Styela clava: one gene and its partner. The protein of the gene in region 1 purifies or fractionates together with the protein of each later gene. This does not show direct contact. Links are inferred from orthologs where the notes say so. Each region holds a gene or a part of one and is shown on either strand. Other genes may lie near its edges. The genes, in order: deubiquitinase OTUD6B-like and ubiquitin thioesterase OTUB1-like.

Region 1 (6,601 bases):
TAATGTTAAGTAGCTAAGTACAGGTAATAGGCTATTGTTCAGTTGTTACACACTAAATATTGTATTTCATATGATTCTAATAATAGACACTAGAATAGACTTGAAAAAAGCCAAGAAAACGCCAAAAAGCCAAACGGAAATTCTGACGCCAAACGCGTTTGAAAAAAGCCAAAAATGGCAAATTTGGCGTTAAAAAAGCCAATATGGCAACCCTGTACCGCGCAGATCACAACAACTCTTCGTCTTAGCAGCAAGAATCACGTTTGCTTCTTCGCCGCAATCGCCACAAGATGCCGCTATTTTTCATTCTGATTACCAATTCGCACACAAAAAACGAATCTCTTGAAGTCCGTAGAAAATTTTGAAATAAATTAAGATAATAGCCTCCTGGAGAAAAATTCTATCTTTAACCACTGAAAATTTCAAAGCAATTGGTTCAGTAATCAAAGAGAAAAGCAATTTCTTCAAAACAACAAGATAAGCGCAACATAAAACAAAACGATCGCTATGTCCATTTCGTGTCCAAAAATGAAATGTAAGATTTTGGGGGTTATCAAATTAATGTCGAATTTTGACAGACAAAATTTTCTTGATGATCCATAATAAGTTGAAATTTTTTTTCAATTCAAATACATGTGAAATGTTTAATTAATGTTGCATTTTTTTATAGGATATTATTAGTTGGGTTTTTGCTAGATTCTGTTGTTAGACAGGAAATAGGAAAATCTTATTGGCATGATAGATATTCATATTTTCTGTCTAATCTTTAAAAATTTTGTTTTTCCATGCTAATATAAAATATATCTAATTATTTTCACCGTGATGAATTTGAGACAACTGAATTGTAACTACGATGAATTGCTGATATGGAATATGTGAAATATGATGTAATCTTTGTATGGGTATTGTATACCTATTTTTCTCCACCGAAACGGAATTCAAATAATACATTTGTATTCCGAACTCGATATTCCACTTGACAAAAAAAATATATATATTTAAAATATAACGATTGGCTTCTAAATTCTCGATACAACAATTCTGTTTTGACATGGATCTTTCCCCGACCTTTGACCCCCGGAAAATTTTTCTTATACTTTACCATTGCAAAATTTCCGGGGCTATTTTAAGAGTGCTTTTGCGAGTTGGCGCCTGTCAACTGGGGTATATGTTTCAAACCATCATTATGATTCATCGCATACAACAATCTGTGAGAAAAGTGTCTGAGCGGATGCGGAAATGGGGTATTGTTACGTCACTTTTTACATCTTGCTGATTAGCCAATGTCACGAGGTAAACAAGGAAGTCGATGCTCGGGGAAAGGTCCATTGGAATTTATTTGGCAAAAAAAATACCAGGATCGCAATCGCAACACTACTCTGCGACGATGCAACGTGTAGTCGCTCCGTTTGCGAGACGGGGGTCTGAGATAGGATAGGATTTACATATTTATCCCGGGGGAGAGGAAAGCCGATAAGACGGCTTATCCATATGGCGAAACACGGCCTCTCGTCCAGTTACCATTCCAAGTCGGGTATGAGATTAGTTATATTGTTTGTTTTCAGAAGCATGGACTTGGACTTGCAGAGTGATTAGAGGTGCGGTGGCGAGCGTATTCCTAACGCTTAGCCCGTTGAGCCACACCGCTGCGCCATAATATAATTGGACTGTTTGATACTATAAAATTTGAAAGTCGTTGTATTGAGAACTTTTTGTTAAATTTGTTAAAAATATTTTTTGTCATTTTTGTGGGTCTGTGAGTCATTGTGTCAAGCATTTATTGAGTAAAATTTGTTTATTTTTTGCGTTATATTTTGAGCAAGTAGACTACGGTACAGTATATTCAGATATTGCTGGTAATATCGTCTTGATCCGCCATGTCTGAGAGAAAAGTTCTCAACAAATACTATCCCCCGGATTATGATCCTTCATTGATACCCAAGCTCAAGTTAGCTAAAGATAGACAATATGTAATACGTGTTATGGCACCTTTTCATATGCGGTGTAAGACTTGTGGAAATTACATTTACAAAGGAACAAAATTTAATTCAAGAAAAGAAACTGTCCAAGATGATGATTATCTTGGTTTGAGAATTTTTCGATTTTATATCAAATGCACAAAATGTGTTGCTGAAATAACATTCAAAACTGATCCTGAGAATACAGATTATGTCATTGAACATGGTGCCACTCGAAATTTTGAGGCAGAAAAACTTCTCCAAAAACAAGAGAAAGAAATCGAGAAACAAAGGGAAGAAGATGAAGGAAATCCAATGAAACTGCTTGAAATGAGAACAAGGGACTCAAAAAGAGAAATGGAGAGAATGGAAAATCTTGAAGAATTAAGAGATCTCAATCAACGACATGCTAAGGTAGGATTTTCAATATGATGTTCGATGACATTGAAGAATTTGTTACTTCATAAGATTGTGGTTATTCCATATTGTATATTATATTTGTATCTTGTAAATTTTATTTGACTCCCAGTTTTTAAATAAATAGCATACAATGAGGTGTTTATAAAATTTCATGTTTGTCGAGGGCTAGAATGTTAAAAAACAAATTAAATATTTATAATAATTTAAAATTGATTTCTGGATTAATTTAGAATGTCCCATTCGAAAAATTATTATTTTGAGCAATTTTAGTATCACAGATTTTGAAGTCACAAAGTAAAACTTTACATTACTATTTAGATTTGTCCATCCCTGTGCAATGAGGAGAGTGAATATTTCTAATTTATATGAATTTCTTGGTGTATCTAGGTCAATTACGAAGGAATGCTACAGAGCTATCAAGAAACAGTGGAAGAAAAAAAAAAGAGAGAAGCAGAAGAAGATGAGGAAGAAATGAAGACTATTTTTGGGAGTAACAAAATAAGACGACTGAATGATAGTGATGATGAAGATGACAAATCTGATGTTAAGAATATTGTGAAAGAAGAAATTAATGCCCCTTCCGATTTATTATTGTCATCAGAAGAAACAAAAATTACTAATAAAAGCACAAAAAGTATTTCTTCTGTTCCTTCTAATAAGGATACTATAAAGAAAAAGGCCCAGCTTTTGGGTATTGTAGTAAAAAAGTCGATCGAAAAATTCCCAAAAATAGATAATTTTAATCATCAATCTGAGGATAAATCAGAATTAACCAAAACAATGTCAGTGATTAAAACTGAGAAAACTCTAAAAGATACTGTACTAGCCAAACCGGCTGGGCTTAGTTTGCTCGGAGCCTATGGAAGTGATGATAGTAACACATCCAGCGATGATGATTAGAATGTATTTTTTCAACTATGAATTCAATCATACCTGCATATTCCTGCACAAATTTGTAAATAAGAATTATGCATCCAGGCTGACAATAAGTTTATACAAACATTGGGTCGTGATTCAAGTTAAATCCATTACTTTTTTACTATGAAACCATATGATACGCTTTAGCGTAGGTTAATGCAATGTTAATTGTAATTTATATCAGGGACTTCTAACGAGTTTTTTCACTCACATTTGTTTTTTATATTCTTCTCGACAAGAGTCAAGGTTGCTTAGGACTGGAAGTAGGACTGAGATGAAATTTATATTGACTTTTTTAGCATTAAGTCATGATTTAAACCAGACTATGACCCTTTTTGCTTACTATCAAACATCCTATTTTTCTAAATGTGTGAAGGTTCATTTTTGTCCGCTAATGCAAAAGACCACATTTGTTGGTTTTTGACAATCGGCATTTTCATTTTGCTTGTTATAAATATGTGCTGCTTTGTAAATACAGATTTTTGAAATAGTGTTTTGTGCGTTGCCACAAATACTACAAGTCAGTCCATTTGACATATTTGGTTGAACATAGATAACAATTCAAGGGTAATAGTCTATCACTTATTATTAGGATGTGCACCTTTCTTCTGAGTGTGATATTCAATCCAGGTCCTTTTATTTGTAGCTATCGAGATCAATATTTAAAAAATTCTCATTTTGCAGTCTGTAAGAAATAATTTATTGCCTATAATAATAGTCAATATTGTTATTTTTCAGGATTGTAATTTCTGGGTTCTCTATTTAAAGAGAAGATGTCAGATAACGAGGATATCGATGATCCACAGGAGGCATTGTCTGCCAGGCATAAATTGGAGAAAAAAGAATTGCAAGGGAAAATTCAATCCTTGAAAAAGGGAGTTCCGAAAGGAGATAAGAAGAAAAACAAAGAGATGAAAGCACAAATTGCAATTCTTGAAAGTGAACTTTATGAGAAACATGATAAAGAAATTGCTGAATTGACAGAAAAATTGGAGCTAATGAATAGTGAGGATATGACCGATACTTCAAAGGCTACTAATGAAAATGATGAACCTGGCAGATCAGAACCTTCTCAACAAAGAGTTAGTAAAGCGCAAAAGAAGAGAGAAAAAAAAGCTTTGAAAGTGAAAGAACAAGCTGAAATTGCTGCACAAGCTGAAAAGGACTATGTTAACACACAAAGATATGCAGAAGAGGAAAAAATCAAGACCATATTAACAAAAATGAGTCTAAAAGTGAAGCCCATGATACCTGATGGTAATTGTCTATATTATGCAGTTGTAGATCAGCTGAAGATGAATTTGATGATGTTACATTCACCGAAAGAATTAAGAACATTGACATCAACATTTATGCTTTCTCATGAAGACGATTTTTCCCCTTTTCTAACTAGTTCTGATACAGGCGATTGTTATTCTCCTGAGGAATTCAAACAGTATTGCAAAGATGTTGCAGAGACTACAGCTTGGGGTGGTCAATTGGAACTGCGAGCTTTGTCCCATATCTTACAGACTTCAATTCATGTGATACAAGCAGACATGCCCACTGTAAAAATTGGTGAGGAATATAAAGGAAATCCACTAATACTAACATATCATAGACATGAGCTGGGGCTGGGCGAGCACTATAATTCAGTTCAACCATCAAAACCTGATTCAAATGGACTATCATAGCATATTGTTGTTAATTTTTTGTGCATGACGGTTTATAGCCAGATACAAAGTCTCACACATGTCTATTCAACGGACGAATTGGAATATGTTTTATAATGCAGTTTTCTTCAAACTTTTTTATCACGATCCAATTGGCATGGCAAAATTTCTTCACGACCCTCAGTAACTATAATAAAAAAAATGTAAAATTTAATGATACCGAAAATATTAAAATAAAGTACCGGTAATAAAATTTATAATGCCTTTAATGAGATCGATGTGCTTGCATATTCTCGCACAAAAAGTCGAATCTTGCTTGGGTCTCAATACTGGTTCCAAATTTGATCGATATTTCGTTTTAATGTAAGTTGTCAGTACTTGATAATAATGAAAAATACCGCTACTTCCATTGAGCCCTTCCGTAACCCATCGGGGGTCGGGACCCTCAATTTGAAGAGCCCTTATATATTTCATTATAGATCCTTATCATGAGTAGTGAAATTTTAAATGAGATTGTGCGTAACAAGCATTATTGCTTTCTGATTCAATTTAAACTTCAGTCAGTAATTGAGTTTACTGATACTGATGTGGATCTAGTCTATAATTGCAGAGTACTTTTATTTTGAAGTTATATATTGCTGCTTTCATCAGCAATCATGTTGCTTAAATAGATACTGATAAGATTGTATACATCCAGATAGTATGATTCTAAAATCCAATTGTGAGATTTAATATAAGTTAATGGAGATTTTGAAATTTTTTTCAATTCATCCACAACATTTGAATTGAATAAAGAATTTTTAAACATTAATAAAGCTTTTGATTCACTAAATCAGTGTCGTAATGGCATAATCATGTTTTTTTTGTTGTTTTTACTGAATGGGCATGAACAGTAGTGCGTGAAACTTTATCTAGATGCAAGAATCTGAGTTCAAATGTTGAAGGAAATATTTCTACCGGAATGTTGCATCCGTTCACAATCAGGAATATTGATTGGTGCTTCAAATGATGACGACACTGTATTATATGTTGTTGCCGTTGTACACTTTCCCGTTACACCAAAGAGTTTGAATGCTTACCTTTCTAAATATGAAAAACTGCATGATACTGTCAAACTACGTCCCTTGGGAACTTGGATTTCTAATGAATCCAAGGAGAAACATGAATTTGAACATATACTACCAAAACTCTTTGGACAAAAGACATGGATTTCCATAAAGATGTCAAAAAACAGTGATGATGAAACCGTTTTTACAGCTGAGGATCTTGAAATACAAAATATCAGTGCATCATCGATATTATTAACAAATCAATATGTAAAAACTAATGCAGATGTTATGGCAGTAATTTACAACCAGAAAGACATCTGGGATGGTGAACTTTGCTCAGATTCGTTTTTGAATGTACACAATTCCAATGGTTCTATTGAAAATTTGTTTGTCTTGATTTCTGCCTGCAAAAATGGGATTCTTTCATATGAATATGGAATAAATTCAAATGATGGCGTTCATGTAACACACTGCTGCATGCAAAGGGAACTCAGCATTATAATTTACCTGCTAACAATATTTATCACTGTGCTACTTGGCTCTATACATCTCCCTTTGTACTACTTCAAGAAAATATATTCAGGTATTTACAAGTCAAATACCT
Region 2 (7,757 bases), on another chromosome or scaffold:
AATTGCCCAATAGAAGAAATGATAATTATTGAATTTACCCCTTTACAGAAATCTTCAACAGTTCTATACTCATCAACAAAATTCTGAAAAAATTCACTGTTTTGTTGTAAATGACTTGAAGTAACCAATCGTAAATAAACAACTAAATAATTAGAGATTCCTTCATCTCTGAATGTTTGCAAAAGTTCTTCTACCGTTATTCCAGATCCTACAGAATCCACAACTGATATAAACTGAAGAGAAAAAAATGAAATAAGGCAATGATCAATGCAAACTATTTCACAAACTCCCCTGAAAGTTTACTATGCAATTAACATGGCATCTTCGGCAAAAAGCATCAGTTTAATCACATAGTGTAACATGGCCTCTCGTTCGCTCACATGTCGATATGGCTGTAAGGATGGGCAATGTACAATGACTTACTATTCTAAAATACTTCAATCCAATCATATTCTGTTTCCATAGTTACCAATATTTGTGTGAGTGAGAATTCCCCATCACATTGCTTGATTAAAAATTTAAAAAAGTAAAATTGTAGCCTAATGTATTACTATCTTTTTTGTACATTTTATTTCATTCCAAACAGGCATTTCTCAGGACAATGAAATTCAAGAGAAGGCGTGTCATAAAAGTACAGTATTTGAATTACGACACTCGCAAATATTATTTGATGTTAATTGATCGTAAACATTGTTATAGCATTTAACATCTGGCTTTCCGCGAAAAACCATTTAATGGAAAATGAAACATGGTAAAGTGAGTATCGCCAAGTGAGATAGTAAAGTCGGAAAACGCGAAAATGTAGCAATAAAGAGTACTCGTTGTGGTATGTTTGCCGTTTTTACGCTCGTCTTAGTTTCAATACGTAGAAACCGGTAATAAAAAAATTTACGCTTGGAACCGAATCCTGTTCTCAGATCCTTCTGGATTCGAACTCCAGACGATTCAGTATTCTGAATTGACCCGGTATGGGATTGGCTAGTGAGTTAATTGTTTCATATGCATGGGCTTAATGCTATATTTTCGAAACTTACTTGATCATGAAAATCTTCCACAGTGAATGAAGGATAACCTAATTTTTCTAATTTGTCTTTGGTTTCTGAAGCTTTTGCTCTGAACCTGGTGCAATAAAGAGCAACACGTTGATAATCAATCTAGTATATTATATACAGTAATAAATTCTTTGATTAGGATTAAGGAGTCATTTATAGGGATATTTTTATGGAAGTAGGCGAAGTACTAAAGTCTTCTTGATTCGTCATAGGCTATTTATGACAACCAGAGTGTGTATTTGAAATATTCCATGAGACTAGGCGGTTAGTGCATGATGTTAAGTGTGAAGATTGCGCAGCACTTGTGAACTGTAAATCTTTAACATGGCAATCTCCCAAATTATTAGATTGTTGCATATATCTGTTGTGTGTGTCTTCATTTGCAATGTGACAAAATCTTACCCAGAAAAACAATCTTTATTTTGCAGCAGATACTCAAGATAACCAAACCCAAAAGCTCTATAGAAACAATTACCATCTCCCCTTGTCTTCCTAACATGGCTGTACTTCTCTGAAAGAATCTGAAAAATTTGTGAAAAGTACAGTTATCAAGAATGCCATAATAAATGTAATGATTCCCTATTTTAAACTGGATAAAAATAAGGAGAAAATGTATTTGATATGCTTCAAATATATACATAAACATTTCTTTATCACAGTATTCCAATCTAATAGAATGTGTATGCTCAAAAACCACTTCTAAATAATTTACACAAGACACAATGTAAAATTTATGAACATGGGGTTTTATTTGGTGTAGAAATTTCCTCATTTGTGGTAAATCCATACAAGTATAGCTATTAGTGTTACTTCCATAAATTCAATAGCGGGCAACAAAAATATAATCCAAAAAAGCAATATGAATTCTGAATTAAACGAGCAATTTTCTAACTATAGGAAAGCTAACTAACAATACCTTCACTTTTTGTAAATATACAGCATCATCTTCAGCATATTCGTTTTGTAGTTGCATGATTTCCATCTTATCACTAACCAATTCGTTTTCTTTTGCTATCTGTTTATAAAACGGAAGAAATATGAGGATAGTAAAAACAATGAATTGTTCATCCCTGGTGACAGCGACTCTGTTGTCCACAAATGAAGATAGATTTGACAGCATGAACACTTATGAAATAACGGTTCCAGATAGTTTAGCAAATCATATATGCCATATTTGTTCAAAAACTATCTTAAACAGAGCAAGAAAAAAAATTGTCTTACATCTTTCTGTATTTGATTATGCATTGCATATATCGCTTCATCAATTTCCTGGTTTTGCATTGCTGGAAAATGATAAGTGAATATATTATACAAAAAAATAGCAAAAGCATCGAAGTGTAAGGTACAATTCCCTAATCCTCGTGTCATGGGTCATCCAAGTTGATCTCCGAGTTTTGGTATCACTGTTGATTACAAGTTTGAGTCATTTCATTTAGCTGACTCTAGGACACCGGTTCTCAACTAGAGGGCCATGGCCCACGGAAACATTTTTAGATGGGACATCAGTTATTGATGAATTGGTATCATTTACCGGAATTGAGTGGTAATTTTCATTTTGATTAAAAAAGTGGCATTGTCTATTTTTGCAGGGAGGAATTTTTTTTTATTTAGTTTTTCTCTTGAATGAGAAAGTTGCTGGGCCACAGAATTGTTTTTGTGCAACGAAAGTGCGCCAGAAAAGAAAAAAGGTTGAAACCATTGCTCTCGTCTCTTTGATTCATTAATGAATGCTTACGCTGGCCTCTCCAATACCAGGGGTACCCTTCTTCTATTTGAAATTAATGGTATAATAAATCCCATTCCAGTAAAATTTTCTAGGTATTTACCATGGCTACTACATATCTAGTTGAATCTGAAATATACGAAGTTTAAAATGATAATAAAATCCCTTAAAATCAAAACTTCATGTATATTCATTATACCTTGTAAAATTGCACCATCCGAATCACTTGTGTCCTGTTTGACTTCTTCATCGGATTTACTATTACTGGTTGCCATCATGAGATGGAATAACAAAGAATTATTTATATTCTGCTAAAAGTCAAGCAAGTAAAATTACAGAGAAAGATAAGCTATTTAACACAGTCTATAGATTGCACTCTGGGCATTTTAAGCATATGTATTATAAAATAATCTAGAACTAGACATGTGATTGAGGAAGGTTTTTAGAAACGATTATAAAATTTTTCTTATATATTTCTGTGATATGATACGAAGAAAAGTTGAGAATGCCTAGCCATGACAATGTCATACTATTGACTATTGAGGGACATTGATATAATATGCAATTTATGTTTATGGGACATTGGGACAATAGTAACATATACTCCATTTATAATATTTTATGTGATATGATTTGAATCAAAGACATCCAAAAAAGACTAACATAGTTAAGCATAAACAATAGCATCATTTTAATACATTGCTCTGTATTATTAACATGATGTGAACGGTATTTCTAATTGCACTATATGAAATATTTAAAAGGTATAGATTTTATCATCAGGTTACATATGCTCCCAGCAAAAAGCAGCAATTTACAAAGTGTTGTACCATAAGATGCAATAAGTACGGAGTAAAAATGTATAGGAGAATAATTAAAAAAAAGTGCTATCATAAAACATATGGAAGATAAATTACATGTTGACTGCAATATATTTGCATCATATACAAGTGTCAATTCGACCTCAGTTAGCAGATCAAGGGGCTAAGGCTTTTGGTATCCACTCTCCCGCAGGACCACAAAAATGGTATTTAAAGTTCATGGTTGCAGGTGTATCCTCCAAATTGAACTCCGCCACAGTAACACCACGGTAAGATAACATCGGAGCAAACATGGCAGCCGGGTAAACAACAGACGATGTACCAACAACCAGACAAAGATCACATTTTTCAAGTTCTTCGCCTGCTCGCTCGAGAACTTTTTGATCTAGTCCTTCACCAAACCAAACAACATCGGGCCTCAATAATCCATCACAACTTTTACATTTCGGCAAATTTTCGACTGGTATTTTTGCATCTTGAGCAGTTGGGTCAGGAGCACCCCGATCTCTCAATGCCTCACAGATCGGAGAATCTTTGTTCACATCCACTTTTCCACACTTTGTGCATCGAACTCTGAACAATGATCCATGTAATTCAATAATGTTTTCAGATCCTGCTGTCTTGTGGAGCTCATCTATATTCTGAGTAATGACAGTTAATTTCCGAGCATTACTCTTCAAACGACTTTCGCATTCTGCGATAGCCAAATGCGCAGGATTTGGATTTTTTGTTATCATGACTTCACGACGGTAATGATAAAATTCCCAAACTAATGATGGATTAGATTCAAATGCTTTTGGTGACGCTAAATCCTGAGCCTGCCATTTTCTCCAAAAGCCACCAGCTCCGCGGAATGTGGGCACCCCACTTTCTGCACTTACTCCTGCGCCAGACAGCACAACAATATTCTTTGCTCGTTCAAACTCTGCACGGAAAGCAGCCAAATCCGAACTTGGTCTTGCTGCTGCCATGGTGTAAATAGATATCGAAGACTTCACAATTTGGTGTAAAATACTTTTACATGAATTAGAGAAATGTAGAAAACATTTCATACTATTATAGCACTAAATTAGTACTAGTTTCTAAATTAAAAAACCATTATTTGCCATTAATAAGAATTTTAAAAAATATATCATTTTGCTAAGATAGGTGATTGCTACTTGGGTGCATTATCCTATTTGGTAAGAGATAGTGTTTGAACATATAGACGAGGAGCTATAACTGAAAAAAGGCAATATGCAACATATGCATATAATAAAAGGTCGCTGCTAAAACCAATAATAAATTATTAGCAGAGTTCTATAAGATTGTAAATCGATAGTATCCAACAGCATGAGATTTTCATAACAAGATATATTCAATTAGGTTCCATTACATTTGAACCCACGTACATTTGAACCCATGACAATTGCTCCTGTATGCTATTGCACCTATGGAATTTTTTTTGTTAGTTAAACCCATACTAACCCTAACCCATGGGTTTTAGCACCCGAATATAGATTGAACCTGTGGATATACGCATGGGTTCAAATGTACGTGGGTTCAAATGTACGGTCACCATTCAATTTTGCCCGAATTTCATTGTTTCTATAACGAAGATAATGCTTTGCATTTTTCAGATAAGAATCTACTTGATAATAAATTAGTTGTTTTTCAATCTTTGTGCTTGAATTTTAACATTATTGAAGAAATACTTGAAGACATTTCTCCTGCTGATTTGTTTTGACCAAAATATTCACAAAATTCCCCATCAGGATTTAATAAATACATTATCACAGTATGGTCTACAATATAATCATCTTCCGAGTCTTTTGGACCTTCAGCATAATAAACTCTAAAAGCTCTTGAAGCATTTTCAACTTGCTCACGATTTCCAGTCAAACCAATAAGATTAGGATGAAAATCAGCAATATATTTTTTAACAGCATCAGGAGTGTCTCTGTCAGGATCAATACTTATAAATAAAGGTTGAACGTCTGGCAACTGCGGAGTTCTCTTGATTGTATCAACAACATTTCCCATTTTTTCTAGTTCTTCAGGACAAATGTCAGGACAGTGGGTGAACCCAAAGTAGATAAGAACCCATTGACCTAAAAAGTCGCGATTACTGCATTGTTTGCCGTCTTGATCTATAAGAGTAAAATCTCCCCCTAAAGCTGGTTTTCCCATTGACTTTATCATATTAGATTCAAATTTCTCTTCTTTTTTCGACTTGAAATGCTTCATAATAAGGATAGAAATAGAACCTACAGTTGCAATAAACAACACAGACATCCAACCTACACCAGGTGCTAGTGTTGGCGACCTACGTTTTCGAATTGGAAAATATAGTCTTCCTGAGGTAGAGAATTGTTTTTGAAATACTTTTGTTCTTGATGGATTTACAAAGTTCAAACATATATTTTTTGACTTGGCCAATGTTCCGTAAGTACGATGCTGTATGGCATAGCAATGTGGGGATATAGTTTTTAGCAAACACAGTAACCTCATTCTTATATGTTTCTACACAAAAATAAAACAAGTATAGGATTTTCATATTTATCTTGAGGGAGAAGGAAACACAAATAGATGACTTATCATATGGCATACCACAACCTCTCATCTGGTTCCTCGTTCATGTTGAATATGGGGTTAGTTTCGATAGCCAGTTATTTGTTTCAGACGCATGGACTTGACAGTGGCAGTACGGCACACTATCCAAATTCCAAGAATGTCCCGTCATTTGGTTCAATAAAACAAACACTCCATGTGTCTCACAAACGAGGGGGCGTCTGGCACGACGGTAGATGGATAATTATCTAAATTAATTGCATCCGTCATGTGACTAAAATTGCCATTTTTTTCTCAAAACTCTCGAATGCCACGGTAGAAAATATTTTCCTTCTGTAAATGGGATTATTTTTCCCAAAGGAATTCAATGATGACGTTTTTAAATTGTGCTTCTCTGTAGTTTTTTGCACAACTTCATATTGAGGGACAACCATGTCCAGACGTCCCCAAAGGAGGGGTGTCTGGTCATCTGTAAAACGGGTTTCTCTGAAATGAGACAATGTCGCTCGATCTGTATAGTGTGCCGTACTGAGTGAAGTCGTAACAGACTAGCGGGTAAATACATCGCACCTGTCATCAACGGATTAGGGAAACGCCATCAAAAATGGCTGATACTGTTATTTCACAATTTATTATGAGATTTGTCTCATATAAATAAATCTATACTCTCAGTCTCAGACTCTACTGCAAGCTACATACAGACATAGTCTAGCTCTGAGAATGCTAAATCAATAATTAATTATAAATATTCTATCAGCAATTATGCATCGAGGTAGACTAAGTGCTTGTGGACTTCGCATATGCAAACCAAAAATGTACATATAACCAACTTCTTATATAATGAAACTTGGAATGGTCACAGGCGTAGGCCACAATCATACAATCCATGGGATTATGATTTACATAATTATTATTACAGATAATTCTAGTCATTTCTGCATTTAAAGTTACATCTCGACAAACCAACCTGTTATTATTTAATGAAAATCCTTGCAACCTGTTACAAATGAGTGTTCAATCCTAAATCAGTGAATGCAGAATTTTGCAGAAATGTTCAATTCGCGTTTTCTCTCACTTGATGGGAAATGCTATATTTACTTTTGGTGCCTATTGTAATAAAATGCAATTTTCTTCAAATGCCAAAATATGTCACTTAAGTGAAGATATATATATCTACCAAAAAGAAAGCGGAACAACCAACCAATGAAATACAACTATTTTGTGACCACGCATCGGCGTAGTCTTTTACAAAGAACAAATAGCGAAGCACGAAATCGAACGCCCGCATTCTGACTGCCTTTTTACCCGGAGTGAGGTAATCAGCATCCAGATTTCCACTACCATACATATAGTCAATAGTCATACCAGCCAAAGTGCCTATAACACTTTGATACCAACGGCCGGCAACCAACTTGCCTAATGTTAAACAAGTTTGGGCCACATTTGGGAAACGCGAAACAATGGAGTCTTATGGAAAATTTTTGTCGTGTTGTTGTACCGAATCGAATAAGTCAGCTGTTATAAGGACTAGAATCGAAACCGACGGGTGGATTTTGAACTTTAAGATATATGCTATCTAAATATATAACGCAATTGGGAATAAAAAACACT

The links.
Region 2: the proteins of deubiquitinase OTUD6B-like (region 1) and ubiquitin thioesterase OTUB1-like fractionate together in Homo sapiens (co-fractionation; 4 studies listed by BioGRID and IntAct, with this or other methods). This does not show direct contact. The link is inferred for Styela clava from reciprocal best matches to the Homo sapiens genes OTUD6B and OTUB1.

The regions. Positions count from the first base shown.
Region 1 is NC_135255.1:3,218,497-3,225,097, forward strand, and holds deubiquitinase OTUD6B-like, read left to right. Parts: upstream 1-4,069; coding exon 4,070-4,969; 3' UTR 4,970-5,844; downstream 5,845-6,601. Other genes in the region: splicing factor YJU2-like, read left to right, coding at 1,878-2,372, 2,766-3,278; phosphatidylinositol N-acetylglucosaminyltransferase subunit Q-like, read left to right, coding at 5,884-6,601.
Region 2 is NC_135260.1:14,936,694-14,944,450, reverse strand, and holds the start of ubiquitin thioesterase OTUB1-like, read right to left. Parts: upstream 3,114-7,757; 5' UTR 3,054-3,113; coding exon 2,975-3,053; intron 2,336-2,974; coding exon 2,274-2,335; intron 2,068-2,273; coding exon 1,969-2,067; intron 1,574-1,968; coding exon 1,455-1,573; intron 1,120-1,454; coding exon 1,035-1,119; intron 234-1,034; coding exon 39-233; intron 1-38. Other genes in the region: NAD-dependent protein deacylase sirtuin-5, mitochondrial-like, read right to left, coding at 3,752-4,648; protein SCO1 homolog, mitochondrial-like, read right to left, coding at 5,250-6,086. UniProt on the Homo sapiens protein: Hydrolase that can specifically remove 'Lys-48'-linked conjugated ubiquitin from proteins and plays an important regulatory role at the level of protein turnover by preventing degradation.